Arabidopsis thaliana: one gene and its partner. The protein of the gene in region 1 interacts with the protein of each later gene in a pairwise test. Each region holds a gene or a part of one and is shown on either strand. Other genes may lie near its edges. The genes, in order: AT1G06890 and LUT1.

Region 1 (8,551 bases):
GAACAGATAACATGTTTCCCTATGGGTGCCAAACTTGTGAGAGATGTCAATGTGAAGAACAAATCTGAAACAAACTCAGTAGTCGAGGTAAAAAGGAAACAGTATTTTCTTGTGATAAGAGTCAGCCAAGAAGAGTTGAAAACATTGTACTTTCCTCGGGTATAATCATGGTTTTGAATTTTAACCTGCATCTGATTTGCAGCTTTACTATCAAATCGAGCCTGAAGAAGCTCAATCAACGAGAACGAAAGCTGTGCTGGATCTCTTTCATGAAATCATAGAAGAGCCATTGTTCAATCAGTTGAGGTTAGTCATCACATGTTTACCTAGTTTTTTTAATAGATCAAAATTGTATTCATGTATAGTCACACATATATATACATATTTTGGATATAGGACAAAGGAGCAGCTTGGTTATGTTGTCGAGTGTGGCCCTCGCTTAACGTATCGTGTGCACGGTTTCTGTTTCTGTGTTCAATCTTCTAAGTACGGTCCAGTTCATTTGCTGGGGAGAGTTGACAATTTCATAAAAGATATCGAAGGGCTTCTGGTAAGTCTGTAATCAAAAAGAATATATTGATTTTTTTTGTTAAATCTTTACCTCGCTCCACATATGTTAATCGGACTGTAATTGCAGGAACAACTGGATGATGAATCCTATGAAGATTACCGAAGTGGTATGATTGCTAGATTGCTGGAAAAGGATCCCTCTCTCTTGTCCGAGACAAATGACTTATGGAGTCAGATTGTTGACAAAAGGTAAGGATCTCAAGGGTTTGAAGTTATGTGACCTGTAGTATCTATAGAACTTTCAATGATTTACTTGGATCCATATCCACAACGGTCACTGGCGAATGAAAATGGAGTTAACTCTCTCACAGGTACATGTTTGATTTCTCCCACAAAGAAGCAGAAGAACTAAGAAGTATACAGAAGAAAGATGTGATCAGTTGGTACAAAACCTATTTCAGAGAATCATCACCCAAATGTCGTAGGCTTGCGGTAAGGGTTTGGGGATGCGATACCAATATGAAAGAAACTCAAACAGATCAAAAGGCGGTGCAGGTCATCGCAGACGCAGTGGCTTTCAAGTCAACTTCTAAGTTTTACCCCAGCCTTTGCTAATGAGAAGAAACATACAAAAGAGTTTTGCTTCGTCTTCCCTTTTTTTTATCTTTTATATTTTGATTCACTCAATTTTCTTCATACCCTCATTGGATAGGTTATACTTTTGGGTGACAAACACCAAAAATATCCCTTTTTGTTACGATTTGAGAATACGCTTTTTAAATTATTATTTTTATCTGGTGGATAATTTGATATTTATTGATTAGAAAAGCATTATCTTATACAATGTATAGATTTCATTTACCCAAAAAGAAGCAGCAAAACTAAAAAACAGACAGAAAAAAAAAGTTATCAATCGATAAAAACTTACTTCAAATAACCATCGAAACTCTCACTAAGAAAAATCCCATTTGGAACAATTTTCTCCTTAATGACAGGTATATGTCCACTGGAACAATAAATGAAAAGAAAGTATAAAATGACCTTTGATTGTACAGTGAATGTCTTACATAAATAACCAACGGTAAAAAATCAAATGTGAACGTGGATCATGAATAGCTTGTTTGATAATTACGATTATATCCCGCGGTTAATTTCTCTCTGGTAGGGCCTATCAAACGTAGAAAGCGAAAACTATCTTTCTTCTTCCTCTCTCTCACTATTTTTCTCTGTACGGTGGTGAGTGAAGACCATCAAAAATTGCAGAAAATAGGCTTAATCTGAATCTCTTCTCCTCCGTCGAAGTTTTGAATTCTCTCTGGTTCTCCAATTCTCCTGTGAGTCTCTCTCTCTCTCTCTTCCCTCTTTCTCCTTCCTTATGTTCTCCTTGTTTCATTTCGCGTCTCTTGAATTTTGCCTTCAACTGATTTCTTTGATCTCTGTCTCATAACGGCAGATCTAGGGTTTATGGCTTCTGGCTTTCAATAAATCTCCTTCGTTCTCCCACTCTTTTATCTAACGAGTTTCTATTTTCTCCATTTTGCTTCAGCTCGAGCTGCCTTAAGCTTCGCATTTACGTTTACGTTATGCACGAATGAGGTTCGTTTTCTCCAGATCGCTCTTGTTTTCTTCACGTTTTACTGTCTACCGTTATCATTCCTTGTATAATTTTTGGTGGATTAGATCATCGTAGATCGTGATTGAAGAAGCGAGAGATAAATTAGGAGAGCGAAGATGAGCGAGGGCCAGAAGTTCCAGTTGGGAACAATCGGCGCTTTGAGTTTGTCCGTTGTGTCATCTGTCTCGATTGTGATCTGTAACAAAGCGCTTATTAGCACCCTTGGCTTCACATTCGGTAACCTTTTCAATTCTTCCTTCACTGTTACAGGCTCCTTTGATTATCCATGTTGCGCTGCTGATATTGTTTCCTCTGGATCTATTCTTGTGTTTGTATACTAATGCTTACTCTGCGCGATTCGTTTCGAGCCTTCTCTTATTTGATGAAATTGAGGAATAGATTGTTGATCATTTTACTTCATACTATGTTCTGAATTGTCTGTTGGTTATATTTTAGGTCCCTTATGGTACATAAACGAGAATTGCCTTCATGATTGTATATGTTTAAGATTGTTTCTTATCGCTTTAGAATTTAGGTGCTCCTCTTCTTTTCTGTATGACTCAATATTCTTTCCTAGGATACACCATTGATTCTTATGTAGTATTATTATACTTGCAAGACACTGTTTTATCCCATTTTGATGTCTGTGTTGCCATAACAGCTTTTATGTCATCTTATGCAATTTTGATCTCATAAGCTATCTGTTCTTACTCTTGTTATTTTGTATGTACAGCGACTACTTTGACAAGTTGGCATCTTTTGGTCACATTTTGTTCCCTTCATGTGGCATTATGGATGAAGATGTTCGAACACAAGCCTTTTGATCCACGAGCTGTGATGGGATTTGGCATATTGAATGGGATATCCATAGGACTATTGAACCTCAGCCTGGGCTTTAATTCTGTCGGTTTTTACCAGGTATAGCTTTTTCCATTTCAGTTACTGCATGATGTGATATCCATTTTTAACTAGTGTTGTTCTAATTTCTAACCCATCTTCTGTTCCGTTGATAATAGATGACTAAACTAGCTATCATCCCCTGCACTGTTCTCTTGGAGACCCTCTTCTTCAGGAAAAAGTTCAGGTTAGCACTCAAATTCTCTTCCATTAACACGTGAATAATTATTGATTTGGAGGAAGCTGTTTTACATGACATCTATATTTTTCTTATGGTCATGCATTTCTGGTTGACTTAATCCAAAGTTCTAATTTTATATACTGTGTAATAGTTGAGCAACTTAGTGATAGCGTTATGTCTCTCGCTAGTTTGTGGTCAAGGGCCTAGTTAATGACACCCTTATTTTTTTTCTTTGCAGTCGAAAAATCCAGTTTTCATTAACCATCCTTCTCCTTGGTGTTGGAATTGCAACCGTCACAGATCTTCAACTTAATATGCTGGGTTCTGTCTTGTCGCTGCTGGCTGTTGTCACAACTTGTGTTGCTCAAATTGTATCCTATGCCTAGCCTTTGGTTTCTCATTGCTTTATTCTTTCACCTTTCTATATATCTTGTCTTAAACCAATTCGATGCTGTTATCTTAACCAATTGTACACAGATGACAAATACCATCCAGAAGAAGTTCAAAGTTTCATCCACGCAGCTTCTGTATCAGTCTTGCCCATATCAAGCAATCACTCTTTTCGTCACTGGGCCATTTTTAGATGGGCTCCTAACCAATCAGAACGTGTTTGCTTTCAAGTACACTTCTCAAGTAGTGGTGAGACTCAATTTCCCGGGGATTCTACCAAACTTATTAACTGATCTTCTTGCTTCCATGTCGATCCTGCATATTAACGAGTGCTTCTTTGTTGATTGCAGTTCTTCATCGTCCTGTCTTGCCTCATATCAGTCTCTGTAAACTTCAGCACATTTCTTGTCATTGGAAAAACATCTCCTGTCACATATCAGGTTCTAGGACATCTCAAAACATGCCTGGTTCTAGCATTTGGCTATGTGTTGCTGCGAGACCCATTCGACTGGCGCAACATTCTCGGTATTCTAGTGGCTGTGATTGGAATGGTTGTTTATTCCTATTACTGCTCGATTGAGACTCAGCAGAAGGCAAGTGAAACCTCAACTCAGTTGCCTCAGGTATATTTCTTCATCTCTCTGTTCCCTCTAATATATTTCTGTTGGTAATTAGATGAGTCCCTCAAATCATATTCCTTTTTATAGTACCATTGATTTTGCAATTAGATTGCTATAAAAAAGCATCAGTATCATAGGCTTTTTTCAGGTCTATCTATATATACTGACTTGTTATATTGCTTAATTTGGTTTACTCGGGTTTGTCAGATGAAAGAGAGCGAGAAGGATCCGCTAATAGCAGCTGAAAATGGAAGCGGAGTGTTATCAGATGGCGGCGGGGGAGTGCAGCAAAAGACGGTGGCTCCTGTATGGAACTCAAATAAAGATTTTCAAGCCTAAAAGCTTTGATCATCGCTATTTTTTTATATAATATCAAACTCTCTTTGTATTGTCCCCAAAAAAACACAAACTTTTTAATTTCTCTTTTTTTTTTTTTTTGTTCCCTTTTTAAATATGCATAGCAGAGAAGTAGGGGAGACTGAAAAATCAACAAACCTTCCACACCATATGGAAAAAAAGAAGAAAGTAGAGAGTGAGGGGAAGAAAAGGGAACAGCTTTGATGATCCATTTTATTATACACAGCAGCTCTCTTTTTTTTTTTTTTTTTTTTTTGGATTTAGTATTACAACTCTGTATTCAAAAGGCTGTGGCTATATTCATCAACACTGAAAACATATATTTGATTTTTAGACTCTTTTCTATGAATCTACACAACTCATTCTAGCTTTCTTACCAACTTGTCCCAATTCTTATTCAGTTATTCCATATCTTGACCAAACCATTTTGATGAGAGTAAAAAAAAAGGTTTCTGGTATTTATTTTAAAACATAGCGTAAGGTTCAACAAAGCACCAGTGGTCTAGTGGTAGAATAGTACCCTGCCACGGTACAGACCCGGGTTCGATTCCCGGCTGGTGCATGAGCTGTGATGAAATTGGCTTTAGTATTGGTTGGGTCCAATGCATTCTCCTGAATATCAGATGATTTCGCCTACTCTGAGCTCTATTTTTAATTTTTATTTTTGAAATATTGCATTTTAAGTTTATACAAACTATTAATATCTTGTATCTGCCAAAATAGCCTGCAAATTCCACAGAACCAATTATGTTCAAGAGCTTGAGAACAGAACGTTTACAGGATTCTTCACATTAAATACTCAAAAAAGAAAGTTTACCCTTTTATGTTTGACAGCTACTGCCAATTACACTGGATGCATTTAGGTTTCAACACATCAAAAAAAATCAAAGCAAAAATATCAATTTTCTTGTTCTTTTTATATGGATTTCCCAGTGCATTCCATGTCCGCCATCAAGCCTAGACAGGAAGAAAGAATTGCTCTGTTGCCTTCAGCGCCAAAATGGTTGGCATGGCACAGCTCATCTAATCAAATTTTCTGCTTAATCCTAAGATACCATCTGCGTTGGTCAAGATACATCAACAGCTCTCTTTTGGCTAACTTGTTCATGGTGTATTATGTCTGACACTTTGCTTGGTGGCCAATAGCGAAACACAGATCTCCCTATGATGTTCTTTATTGGAAGTGGACCCCTGCGTTTTACATTCACCACATCATCCATGAATCAACAGAGTTCCCATAACCAAGACAGAACAACCATTAATAATATATTCGAAAGTGGTTACCAGTTATGAGAATCAAAGCTTTTGTTGCGGTTGTCTCCTAGGACGAAGACATAACCTTCAGGGACAAACTGCAAATAAACAGGAAAAAGAAAGAGATCAAGTTAGCAGCATTCTTCTAATAATTTTTAGGTCGAGAAAACATTCAATAAGCAAGCGCAAGTTTGCTTACCATTGGTTCCATTTCATAGTCAATTGGCTCTAAGACAAAATCCTCTGCTTGAACAGTGTCATTTACTAAGAGCTTTCCATCACAAACCTATATGATACAGCATCAATAGGTTAGACAGGAATATAACAACAACAGAAACAAAGGTTAAGAGTCTGTTTTGAGGAGGCTGGTCATCAAGAAGCCACTACATAAGTAATACCGATAAAGATGACCAAAGACTTCAATGGAGAATAGGATCAATCAACAAGTGGATTAGAGATAAGGGCTTACTTCAACCCAGTCACCTTCGCTAGCAACTATCCTTTTTATGAAAACATCAGCACAACTGTAACCATGTTCCTGCAATTCAAAGGAGAGTATCAAGCACCTTTGAAAAAGGTCTAAGAACATTTGAAAACCCAGAAATAGTGATTTGAGATATATACCACCAAAATAGGAGGAGCCTTGAAGATAACTATGTCTGAAACCTCTGGCTTCCTGAAAAAGTATGAGACCTGTCCAACACCAAAGCAAATAGACAGATTTGATCACAATGGTTTAGTGTGATTAAGCCACATCACCAATTAAAAGATCAATGTGCATTTCTTATGTAAGAAGAAACACATTTAAGACCATTTCCAATAACAAATTTTAGTTCCAACAATGCAGAATTGGTTAAAGCCGTCATTTTAAAAACCTCTCAAGATCAAACATCATTCTACGGTCACAATTAAGAACAGAACAAACCAGTAATCTCACCTTCTCGGCTATAACACGATCACCCACATCGAGAGTAGGAAGCATAGATGTTGAAGGTATAGACTTTGGCTCGGCCAAAGCCGATCGGAAAAGGAGAGAAACAGTAACCGCCGTGAAAGCAGCCTTAGCATCCTCCGAGCAGATATTCAACAGCTTATTAACCCATCCGTTTCCACCATTCGAGACTTTATCACTCAACTCCAACTTCACTTTAGGATCACAGACCTTTCCTCCTCTATCAACCTCAGCAATATCCGTTGATAACGTCGCCGGAATACTACAAGGCATCCACTTGGAACCCCTAAGGAACGGGATGACAGAAGAAGTCTTAAAGGGAGAGATCCCGAGACCGGTCATACCCGAAAACTGTGGAGCTCCAGTCAAATTCATGAGAGAGATCATACCCAAGACAAGTGGACTCTTGCAGCCTTCTTCGAGGATTTCCCTCGCAATGGTGCTATACATTGATGAAGCTGGTCGAGCACGAGGGCCTGAGCTTGGACCCCATGTGTTGGATCCGGGAGATTTATCAACAATATCTGGTATCTGATTGTGGCCGCAGAACCTGGGACGAACCCATGTTTCGAAGCATGATCTAACGTCGCCGGTACCGACACGAGTCCCGGCGGATGAAGCAATGCTCCTAGCAACATAGCTGGAGTAGGTGAAGGTAACCCTAATCGCCATAAATGCAGATTTTGAAGAAAGTAAGGGTTTCTTAAGGAAGACCTAGAAAGGAATAAGGAATTGGAAGAATCGATCTGCCGGAAAGAGAAACGGAGAGCTTGTTCCGCCGGCGAGATCGAGTAATTGTTTCAGGCGGGGAAGCGAAGAAGCGAAGAAGATGGAGATCTCCCAGAGGAGAGGAGAAGGTTTTGGTCGAAAGCAGAGAGAGTCTTCTTCTTCTTGTTGTTGGTTGAGTTGAGTCATCAATTACATTTAGGGCCAAAAATGGGCCTTTAAATATACAATTTCTATTCATAATATCCCATAATTAAATACGCAAGTATCAAAAATGGCTATAACATTGACAAAAATAAATTAGAATTATCTGATAAAAAGATGGTGGAGTGGGTATTTCACAAAATTACAATTGTGAATTTTGTTGTACTGAGCAAAATTGTTTAATACATTTTTAGATGTACAATTAATAAAAGCACACGATAAATTTCATCGTTTTTTTTTCAATCTTTTGCTCGTAAGAACATAATTTTTTAAGCCGATTTGAATTTTAAAGTAAAGACATTAGCACAACCTATGTTTCTTGTCAGTTGTCACATATTAACATTTGCTAAAGATATTTTGGTGTTTATAAATCAACTATAAGAAAATAATATATAACCTAGATATATGAAATAATGAATCATGTATAGACCATTTTGATATCCCTATAATACATGGTAGACATGTAGTTATGAACTAGAGACGTAACAAGGTAAAGGCTCTGGGACCGGGCGCAGGAGTGTGTATGTGGAAAACTATAAAGAAAGTGAATGACCGCAGCACATACGTCATCTCTCTCTTAAGGTTCGCCCGAAGCTTCGTTGATATTTCTTAATTAATCAGTATTATCTTTAAATAATTAGTCGTTAACTTAGTTGGGTTGAGTTTGACCACAACCTAATTAACAAAATGGATTCTGTTTCGTTTTTTTTTCTTTTAGCCAAACACTAATCTCTCGTTGTCTTCCCAAATGCTTCTATTTAATCAAATATTTATATTGTGCTCAAGATACATCGAGGCTTCATACGGATTAGAATTTGTCTATCGGCATGTTTTGTTTTGTTTTT
Region 2 (9,923 bases), on another chromosome or scaffold:
TCTCCAAGTTGTCTCCTGTTACATTTGATCAAATGGAAAGTTCTAGATTTCTGGATTGAACTAAAGTTTCCTGTAGAATTACATGAACCATAGAGTACTTACTAGCTAGCTGCAATGTTTCTCTACGGAGCTCATCTTTGATCTGACGGACAGAAACAAATCACGAAAAAATTAACGTCCAGAGACTATAACAAGGAACCAGAAAGCTGATGACATGATACAGGCTTTATCAAACAATATCAATGTATAGACTTGAAAGAGCACTAATGAATTATATCAACACAGAACTAAAGAAGCTACATATTCTTAGAGCTACAGATAAGACCCTCGGTTATCCAGAAACAACCGACTGTTTTAGAGACTATAACAAAGAACCAGAAAGCTCTAATTACTGGCAACATGTAGAAGATGACGCCATGATAAAGGCTTCCTCAAACAATATCAATGTATATACTTGAAAGAGCACCAATGAATAATATCAACACATAACTAACGAAGCTCCATTCTTAGGACTACAATTAATAGTAATACTCTTAGCTATCCAGAAACAACTGACTGTTTTAGAGACTTACATTATTCTGGACTTTGACCTGGTCAAGAGAGAGCAGAAATTGCTGATACGCATCTTTGTCAGAGAGAAGCTTCCTGAGTTCATCCACGCTACAGAAAAGTATACACTATTCAAAAAGAAGACATACAAAAAAAACGCACACTCGAGAGAAGGATAACAAACAAACAAACAAAAAGAGCAAACCTTTTGTCTTTCAAGAAGACGATAATGCCAGCTGCTTCACCCGGTGATACTTGTGCTGAAATCTGACCTGAACTTTGAGGCCGGGATGAGCTTGGCGAGCTAACTAAAGAAGGCGAGTACCATGGCGACTGTGAAGAAGCTTCCTGAGGACGAGATTGCCCTTGTTGTTGGTCTTTTGATCCCCTTCACGTACACAACAAAAAAAAGAAACATCATCAACTAACTATCTCAGCTTCCAAGTTAATATAATACATCACCTCATAAACTTGAAAGGTGCATTTATACAGCACATCATTGTAAACCTAATATCAGTAACTATGAACCCTAAATCAGTAGCTGAGCAAAATCTACACTTGTCAATTCACCTCAAAAACCTCAAATATATCATTATAGCTCAACAAACTACACAACAACAAGATTTCCTTAATCGCTAACAGACCTAATGTCTGGATCACGCAATTTCATCAATAACATATGAATCAGATGGCAAAAAATTCGCAAAATCATACCAGAAATTGAACATCGTTTCTAGAATTCGCCGACTAACGAAAGGAATTGACTTTTTCTTGTTCTCTTGTACTTCTTCTTCCTACCAGATCGACAAAATTTAACAACTTTACAGAAACAGAGTTTACAGAGTTTCAAAGAAAATTCGATCTTCTCTGTTTCGTTTCAGATTTTGCTACTTGCTTTTAAAAGGCCCAAATACGAGGAGGCCCATATTAAGTTTTGATTAACAAAACGTAGTCGTTTTATGCATCGTCGTCCTTATCCACGCGTAACGGTTCGCGTTTCTACACAGAGTCAAATATTTCTGCACGGAAGCTTCGAAAAGAGGTCATCAATGGAGTCTTCACTCTTTTCTCCATCTTCCTCTTCTTACTCTTCTCTCTTCACTGCAAAACCTACGCGTCTTTTATCACCAAAACCCAAATTCACATTCTCCATCAGATCCTCCATTGAGAAACCCAAACCCAAACTCGAGACCAATTCATCGAAATCCCAATCATGGGTCAGTCCCGATTGGCTCACAACACTCACTCGTACCCTTTCCTCAGGAAAAAACGACGAGTCAGGTATACCAATCGCGAACGCGAAGCTCGACGATGTCGCTGATCTCCTCGGAGGTGCTCTCTTCTTACCTCTCTACAAATGGATGAATGAGTACGGACCCATTTACCGTCTCGCTGCTGGTCCTCGTAATTTCGTAATTGTGAGCGACCCAGCGATAGCTAAACATGTTTTGAGGAATTATCCAAAGTACGCTAAAGGCTTAGTCGCTGAAGTCTCTGAATTTCTATTTGGTTCGGGTTTCGCTATCGCTGAAGGACCTCTTTGGACAGTAATTTCATCTCCTCCTATCTCAATTTTGAAGTTTTTGGAATTGTGGAAGTAATGTGTGACTGTCTTGTATGATAAGTAACTCTAATTTTAGGGTTTAGATTCCAATCTTCTCTATTGGGCTTAGCTGAAGTCTGATTTTTTACATAGGCGAGGCGTAGAGCGGTGGTTCCATCGCTTCACAGGAGGTATTTGTCTGTGATTGTGGAGAGAGTATTCTGCAAATGTGCAGAGAGGCTTGTTGAGAAGTTGCAGCCTTATGCAGAAGACGGAAGTGCTGTGAATATGGAAGCGAAGTTCTCTCAGATGACACTTGATGTCATTGGGTTGTCTCTTTTTAACTACAATTTCGATTCTTTGACTACTGATAGTCCTGTCATTGAAGCTGTTTACACTGCTCTTAAAGAAGCTGAGCTTCGTTCTACTGATCTTCTGCCATATTGGAAGGCAAGTTTCCTGTGTTTTTTCTGTGGTTTGTTGATTGTGTGGAACAATTGGATTCTTGTTAATTGAGAGGGTTTGGTTGTTTTTTTCAGATCGATGCATTGTGTAAGATAGTCCCGAGACAGGTGAAAGCTGAAAAGGCTGTAACTTTGATAAGGGAAACTGTTGAAGACCTTATTGCTAAGTGTAAAGAAATTGTCGAAAGAGAAGGCGAAAGAATCAATGATGAGGAGTATGTAAATGATGCTGACCCAAGTATCCTGCGTTTCTTGCTTGCAAGCAGAGAAGAGGTTTAAACTTTTTTCCTTAAGTTTATAAGCAAATTTGGCCTTTCATTATCGCATAATCGAAGCTGATGTTGCATTGTGAGGGTTTTCAGGTATCAAGTGTGCAGTTACGGGATGATCTTCTCTCAATGCTCGTAGCGGGTCATGAAACCACTGGATCTGTCCTCACTTGGACACTTTATCTCCTAAGTAAGGTACCTTAATGTATCTTCTACTTTGCTATGCTAGAGAATTTACTTGGATGGGAGCTTCTCTGTTCTCATTTACCTCTTCAAATTCTCTATGTTCATAGAACTCATCTGCATTAAGGAAAGCACAAGAAGAAGTAGACAGAGTGTTAGAAGGAAGAAACCCGGCTTTCGAGGATATAAAGGAGTTGAAGTACATCACTCGTTGTATAAACGAGTCAATGCGTCTCTATCCTCATCCTCCTGTAAGCAATCAAGCTCATCTCTCTAATTATTCATGAACTAAATTTTCTGATTGATTTGTTTCCTGGTAGGTCTTGATAAGAAGAGCTCAAGTTCCTGACATTCTTCCTGGGAACTATAAGGTCAATACCGGACAAGACATTATGATTTCAGTCTATAACATCCATCGTTCTTCCGAGGTACAGTTCTCTTCCTTCTCTCGTCCATAGTATAACATAGGGGAGCCTAATCCTTCTCTTCAATGATCTTTGTGTGGTTCGGATATCTAACCGGAGTGGACATTCCTAGTATTACATTCATGCCCACATTTCTTATGTGTTTGTTGTTTGTTATTCCAAAGGTATGGGAAAAAGCTGAGGAATTTCTGCCTGAACGATTCGACATAGATGGCGCAATCCCTAACGAAACAAACACTGATTTCAAGTAAACTCAGTAGAACACATCTTTTGACACAAACTACTGAATCAAGATTAGTGGTTTTGATTAGGGAATTTAAAAGATGATTTTCTTTTTTCACCAGATTCATCCCATTCAGTGGAGGGCCTAGAAAATGTGTAGGCGATCAGTTTGCATTGATGGAGGCAATTGTGGCACTCGCGGTGTTTCTTCAGCGGTTAAACGTTGAGCTGGTTCCTGATCAGACCATTAGCATGACCACAGGAGCAACCATACACACCACCAATGTATGCCAATGTTCTCACACTCGAGAGATTAATGAGAGTGTCTGTTTTGTTTAGAATGATTCCAATTTCTCTAATGCTGATATTTTCAATTTCAGGGATTGTATATGAAGGTGAGCCAAAGGTAAAAACCAGAATTTATGTTTTCATGATAATTGATTGGTGTGAATGGACTTGTTTCATAGTACTCTTGAGAAATAACCACAAAAAAATGAATTATGGAAAATAGTTGTACCATCGGAAATGTGAATTTTGAACAGTGAGATGCTAGTACCATTAAAGTTTGGTAATTGTGTTATCATTTCAAATCAAACTTTCATACAGCTTGTGTTTGTTCTCCATTTTTCAGTAATTACGAAAATCAAAATTTTATTTTTTTTTGAATTTCTAAATAATAGACTAAGGTCTAAAACCATCCCATTCCATATGGACCACACGTAACATTAACCTTAAAAACCATATAAAACCATATAAAACCAATACTAGTGGGTTCTATAGCGATGTGTAGTTTCACTTTCACGTACGAGGAAGATTAAAAAAAATGGAGAACGAAAGCTCAGAGAGTAGAAACAGAGCTCGTCTTGCCATTATGGAGCTTGCTAACATGATTAGCGTTCCCATGTCTCTCAATGCCGCCGTGCGACTAGGCATTGCCGACGCCATTTGGAACGGCGGAGCCAATTCTCCTCTCTCTGCCGCCGAGATCCTCCCTCGCCTCCACCTACCATCTCACACTACCATTGGTGGCGACCCCGAGAATCTTCAGCGTATACTTCGGATGCTCACCAGCTACGGTGTCTTCTCCGAACACCTTGTTGGATCCATTGAGAGGAAATACTCTCTTACGGACGTCGGAAAAACTCTTGTAACCGACTCCGGCGGCCTCTCTTACGCTGCCTACGTCCTCCAACATCACCAGGTTTATGACTCATTTTCATTTTCCAAAATTGGAGTGATATATTAAAGGACTAATGATGGTATAATAAACTAATGTCTAAAACTTGTTGTGAAAATGATATATATTACAGGAGGCGTTGATGCGAGCATGGCCACTAGTTCACACGGCAGTGGTGGAGCCGGAGACAGAGCCGTACGTGAAAGCAAACGGCGAGGCGGCATACGCTCAGTATGGGAAAAGTGAGGAGATGAATGGTCTAATGCAAAAGGCAATGTCTGGCGTATCTGTACCGTTCATGAAAGCTATATTAGACGGCTACGATGGGTTTAAATCAGTGGATATTTTGGTTGACGTAGGAGGTAGTGCAGGGGATTGTCTGCGTATGATCCTTCAACAATTTCCTAACGTCCGTGAAGGGATTAATTTCGATTTACCTGAAGTTGTTGCCAAAGCCCCCAATATTCCTGGTGAGATTTTGTATTTATGATATATTGTACGTACGTTATTTTCTGAAAGTAAAAAGCTATTTTTAGTAATGTACGGAGTAATAATGGATGATATATTGTATGGTTTAGGAGTGACTCACGTGGGTGGGGATATGTTCCAATCAGTTCCTAGCGCTGACGCTATCTTCATGAAGGTTTGTTGTAACATTATTGTCTGTCACGAGAATACACCTACTAACATTTTTGCTAATAGGACGAATTCTAGTTTCTGTATATAGTTTTAATGTTTAGTGATATAGGTATAAATTTATAAGTCGCTTCGGACAATATGTTTGGTAGTATATAGTCTTAGTTATCGTTAGATCATGCGACTGGTCACTTTCATTTATTTATGATCATTTAAATATTGATTATACATTTCTCAAACCAAAAACTTGTGATCTGTTAGACCATGGATAGGGATCTCATGTTTGTTGAAAGAACAACACAAACAAATACACACATTTTTTGCTTCTCTGGTCCCAAATTAATATCTTGTAATATTGTTGTTTGAGTGTAAAGTGGGTGTTAACGACATGGACGGATGAAGAATGCAAGCAGATAATGAAGAATTGCTACAACGCGTTACCAGTTGGAGGAAAGCTGATTGCGTGTGAGCCGGTCTTGCCTAAGGAAACCGATGAAAGTCACCGGACTCGTGCCTTGTTAGAAGGTGACATCTTTGTCATGACCATCTATAGAACCAAAGGTAAGCATAGAACCGAAGAAGAGTTTATAGAGCTTGGTCTCTCCGCGGGATTCCCTACTTTTCGACCTTTCTACATTGATTACTTCTACACCATCTTAGAGTTTCAGAAGTAATATTCAAGCATTTTTCTTCTCATATTTCTAAAAGCTTCAAAATAATGAATCAAAAGACCTCTTTGTTAATTGAGTTGAGATATCTAGTGAAGACATTAATATTTTCATCAAGATGTAATAATCTAAAGTCTATATTCTAAGTGCATCCTTAAAAGGCATTTTCCATATATATAAGTTTCATCTTTCGAGAAAAAGGAAAAAAGACTCTTTAAGTGATGATTTCAAGAGTATTTCTAAATCACTCATTAGGCTAAGAGAAGAGTTCGAAAGTATACATATTATGCACATTATATCTATATGAATTTTTCTTCTTTGGCAAAAAGAAAAATCGTTTGGTGTTATTCTTATAAATCTTATGTCAACTTCTACATTCGATTTTTCTACACGAGACTCAATTGCTCCAAAACATCTTGGATTAAAATTGAAACGTTAATACTCGAAGATCCCTTTTCTTCCACAGCCTTTTTCGCCATTACTGCAAGTTCTTGAATACGTCTCCTTCGTCTCACGAATTCATTATCATCATCATTTTCGTCTACACGTTGACAATCTTGGTCCATCAAAAGCTTTATAGCTTTCACAACACTCGGTTTCTTGACCAACACTCCAAGTCTCTCCTCGTCTCCCCATCTCACCGGAATCTCCACCCCAACCCTAACCCCGATGTTCAAAACCTCCACGATGAGTTTCTCATTGAGAAATTGTTCAGCGAACAACGGCCATGTGATCATTGGTACACCAAAACATATCGCTTCTATTGTAGAATTCCAACCGCAATGAGTCAAGAACCCGCCGGTTGAACCATGTGAGAGTATCATAGCCTGAGGACTCCAACCCTTTATTACTATCCCTCTTCCTCTAACTCGCTCTTCAAAATTTTCGCGTTTTAGCCATTCGTCTAGCTCAATCATGTGTTTTTCCTCGGTCTTTATCACCCAAATAAAGGGTTTTCCCGATTCTTCTAACCCTAAACCTAGTTCTATCAATTGATTAGGTATTAGTCGACAGAGGCTACCAAGAGAAACATATAAGACTGACCTTGGTCTCATCGAGTCAAGAAACTGCAAGCATTCGGTCTCGCTTATTGCGATGTTACCATTACTTCCTCTATCGAATAGGTCAGCCATACGGTCGTTGCATAAAGAAACGGGTCCAACGAACCATACCTTCTTATTGATGGCCTCAGCGTAGGCCTCTGCATAGCCAGGCTCCAATTCCTGGAAGCTATTAACAATAACCCCAAAGGCTTCTGATTCAGATTCACGCATCTTCTCGCGAACGTCATCCATATTTGCTAACTTCTCAAAAGCACCAGGTAACTGAGCTCTAGCTATCTCAATCCTATGTGGCATTCCTGGTATAGGGAATGGCTCTACGGCCGAAGAAACCGAGAGGTGCGGGCTATGAAGATGGATATTGTGCGAACTCAAAAGAGAGAAGCAACACATTCCATGGAACACGATCCTCGGGATTTTGAACCTCTTTGCGGTTCTTGACGTCCAAAAAAGGCATTTATCGGAGATTATGCAACTTGGAGGGATATCTTGTTGCTCAAGAAACCGTTCCATGGGCTCTTGGAGTTTATCCACAGCGTCATAGAATCTTCGTAGGAGGTCTTTGGAGGGCAAAGTGTCCAGAGTCTCACAATCTTTGGGAAGACCGAATTCTTTGTAAGGAATTGGAAATTTAACGACATTGATTTCGAGACCCGACTCTAATCTTGCTCGGTCAACTGTCTTCGCAAACCTAGAAGCATTTTGAGGGGTTGTAACTATGGTAACGATGTTGCCTTGTCGTGCAAGAATCTTGGAGATGTCGACCATGGGGATCAGATGCCCTTGAGCCATGAGAGGGATCAAAACAAAGTGAAGTCTTTTGGCTTTTGAAACTATTTTTGATTCCATTTTTGGGTTTAGCAAATGTTTATGCATATACAAAATTCGACAATGTGTATATACGTGTGTGAATGCATCTGGTGAGAGACCTTTAATTAATTGGGAAAGTCATCAAAAGCTGTATATATATACTGACTTTGAACAAGTCACCAAAAAAGAACTATTGTTTAGAGAACCAATCATGTACCCTCATTCTTATAAAAAAAAATCGCTGACGGTGATGAGTTACGTCATTCATGACACTTAATGAGTTACATAAGATAAAACTTCAAGGAAAATATATATGTGAGGAAAACTTCAAGGAAAATTCACAAATGAAACAAAAAAAAAAATGTTGAGTTATCCAGTGAGATATGTAAATTTAAGTTAAAAGAATCTTATCTTAAATATTTATTAGTAAAACAAGTTAAATATTCACTGACACTTACGAAAAGACAACTATATATATAAAAATATCGTTATCTTAATTTGGTTTATTTTGTATTACGACTTCTGTATAAAGAAGTACCAAGTAGGTCAAGCTTGGCCGATGGGGCTGTTAGAGTTCCATTGATTATGGTTTTGTCTCCACCTAAAGATAGATTATTTGTTTGGTTATCACATGATCGATCACATCGTTAATCTACATGAGTTTCATTTAATTTCTTTCCGGTGTGTTCAAAGAGATCGATTTGTTAATGCAAATGAAATCAATTTAAAATTAGCACTCGATAGAATTTCAACACATTTGTACAAGAGTTCACGTTGAGCTTTAAATTGAACAAAAGAAGAAGAATTAGGACTTCTAATTTTATACAAAATGTGATTTTATTTTCCTCATAATAAAGAGTCTTTTTTGCGTAGGTTTAGGTTCACGGAGTTCCTGTTTTTCTTTGTTCCAAACATTGGTTCCAAGATCGCATGAAAGAAAGAGAGAAGGAAAACAAAATCAAAGGCGCTATCTCAAAGTCAAGATAGATTGAACAAGATATGATATTCGATATGTAATTTTTTAATTTATATTTTTGGAATCAAATTCATCTGGTTGTAATGAACGAATCTATAACTTTTTTATTTTTTTTGGGCAAACGAATCTATACTTTTGATGCGAAATGATTGAGATATTCTATAAAGTTATTGTCTATCAGAATATGTATACTAAAAAGATTATTTTGATGACTAATTAAGAACAAGATAATGTATGGAAAGAAAAAAAGATAATGAATGACAACTTGGATATATTTTTATATATTAATGTATGATCTCAACCCTCGGTTATGTAGGTTGCCCATCGAAATATATTGGAGATTAAGCCTTTAAAAAAAAAAAATATATACATATATTGGAGATTGGGAAAAAATACTTCCCAAGTTTAATTTTTTATCATCAAAAGTTCATAAAATATTTTAAGTCAAGGCATTTCTACAAACTAATTAGGAAACTATATACCTAGCTAGCTAGCTTTTAGCCCAAGAAAATCATATAGTTGTGATAGTTAATTTAAGCATTCGTTTTGAATAAACAAACACCAAACACCACGGCATATTTTCCTTATCTTTTTAGAGTTCCGTCTGAAAAGGACATATTTTTTTGTCTGCATGAAAAAGGACTCTTTGAAACGTTCAAATTGTGCGTATGTGGCGAACAAACCAACGTAAGACCAGTTCAACTTTTGGAATATTGGAGCATTGACGTGTATCACTCATACCTTTTGGGTAATCTTAATTTGTCTCTATATTGATGGGATTTTAAATATGAGTCCTTGTCATATATTTTTTTTTTTTTGATAAGCAGGAGGTTCGGGGCCTAGACCCTTAATCCATGCAGGGTCCGGAGAAAACCAGGTGAAAGTCTCTGGCCAAATAAAAATAACTAGCAATTTCACGCCTGAGGGGAATCGATCCCTG

The links.
Region 2: the proteins of AT1G06890 (region 1) and LUT1 interact in a protein complementation assay, tested with the Arabidopsis thaliana proteins (one large-scale study listed by BioGRID).

The regions. Positions count from the first base shown.
Region 1 is NC_003070.9:2,107,729-2,116,279, reverse strand, and holds AT1G06890 (nodulin MtN21 /EamA-like transporter family protein), read left to right. Parts: upstream 1-1,593; 5' UTR 1,594-1,844; intron 1,845-1,845; exon of another isoform or gene 1,846-2,056; 5' UTR 2,057-2,106; intron 2,107-2,190; 5' UTR 2,191-2,241; coding exon 2,242-2,362; intron 2,363-2,858; coding exon 2,859-3,043; intron 3,044-3,141; coding exon 3,142-3,209; intron 3,210-3,441; coding exon 3,442-3,574; intron 3,575-3,680; coding exon 3,681-3,842; intron 3,843-3,943; coding exon 3,944-4,216; intron 4,217-4,420; coding exon 4,421-4,552; 3' UTR 4,553-4,674; coding exon of another isoform or gene 4,675-4,695; 3' UTR 4,696-4,957; downstream 4,958-8,551. Other genes in the region: AT1G06900 (Insulinase (Peptidase family M16) family protein), read left to right, coding at 1-87, 203-306, 397-550, 638-759, 882-1,125; Plsp2A (Peptidase S24/S26A/S26B/S26C family protein), read right to left, coding at 5,638-5,761, 5,855-5,922, 6,024-6,110, 6,294-6,362, 6,449-6,517, 6,762-7,448. UniProt on the Arabidopsis thaliana protein: Nucleotide-sugar transporter that transports UDP-xylose and UMP in a strict counter-exchange mode.
Region 2 is NC_003074.8:19,691,214-19,701,136, forward strand, and holds LUT1 (Cytochrome P450 superfamily protein), read left to right. Parts: upstream 1-1,543; 5' UTR 1,544-1,598; coding exon 1,599-2,096; intron 2,097-2,245; coding exon 2,246-2,542; intron 2,543-2,631; coding exon 2,632-2,829; intron 2,830-2,918; coding exon 2,919-3,020; intron 3,021-3,118; coding exon 3,119-3,259; intron 3,260-3,328; coding exon 3,329-3,436; intron 3,437-3,597; coding exon 3,598-3,680; intron 3,681-3,777; coding exon 3,778-3,940; intron 3,941-4,035; coding exon 4,036-4,065; 3' UTR 4,066-4,478; coding exon of another isoform or gene 4,479-4,856; intron 4,857-4,965; coding exon of another isoform or gene 4,966-5,302; intron 5,303-5,410; coding exon of another isoform or gene 5,411-5,475; intron 5,476-5,842; coding exon of another isoform or gene 5,843-6,142; 3' UTR 6,143-6,329; downstream 6,330-9,923. Other genes in the region: VPS37-1 (Modifier of rudimentary (Mod(r)) protein), read right to left, coding at 1-15, 103-142, 573-660, 755-937, 1,264-1,277; AT3G53140 (O-methyltransferase family protein), read left to right, coding at 4,479-4,856, 4,966-5,302, 5,411-5,475, 5,843-6,142; UGT73D1 (UDP-glucosyl transferase 73D1), read right to left, coding at 6,523-8,073. UniProt on the Arabidopsis thaliana protein: Heme-containing cytochrome P450 involved in the biosynthesis of xanthophylls. Specific for epsilon- and beta-ring hydroxylation of alpha-carotene. Has only a low activity toward the beta-rings of beta-carotene.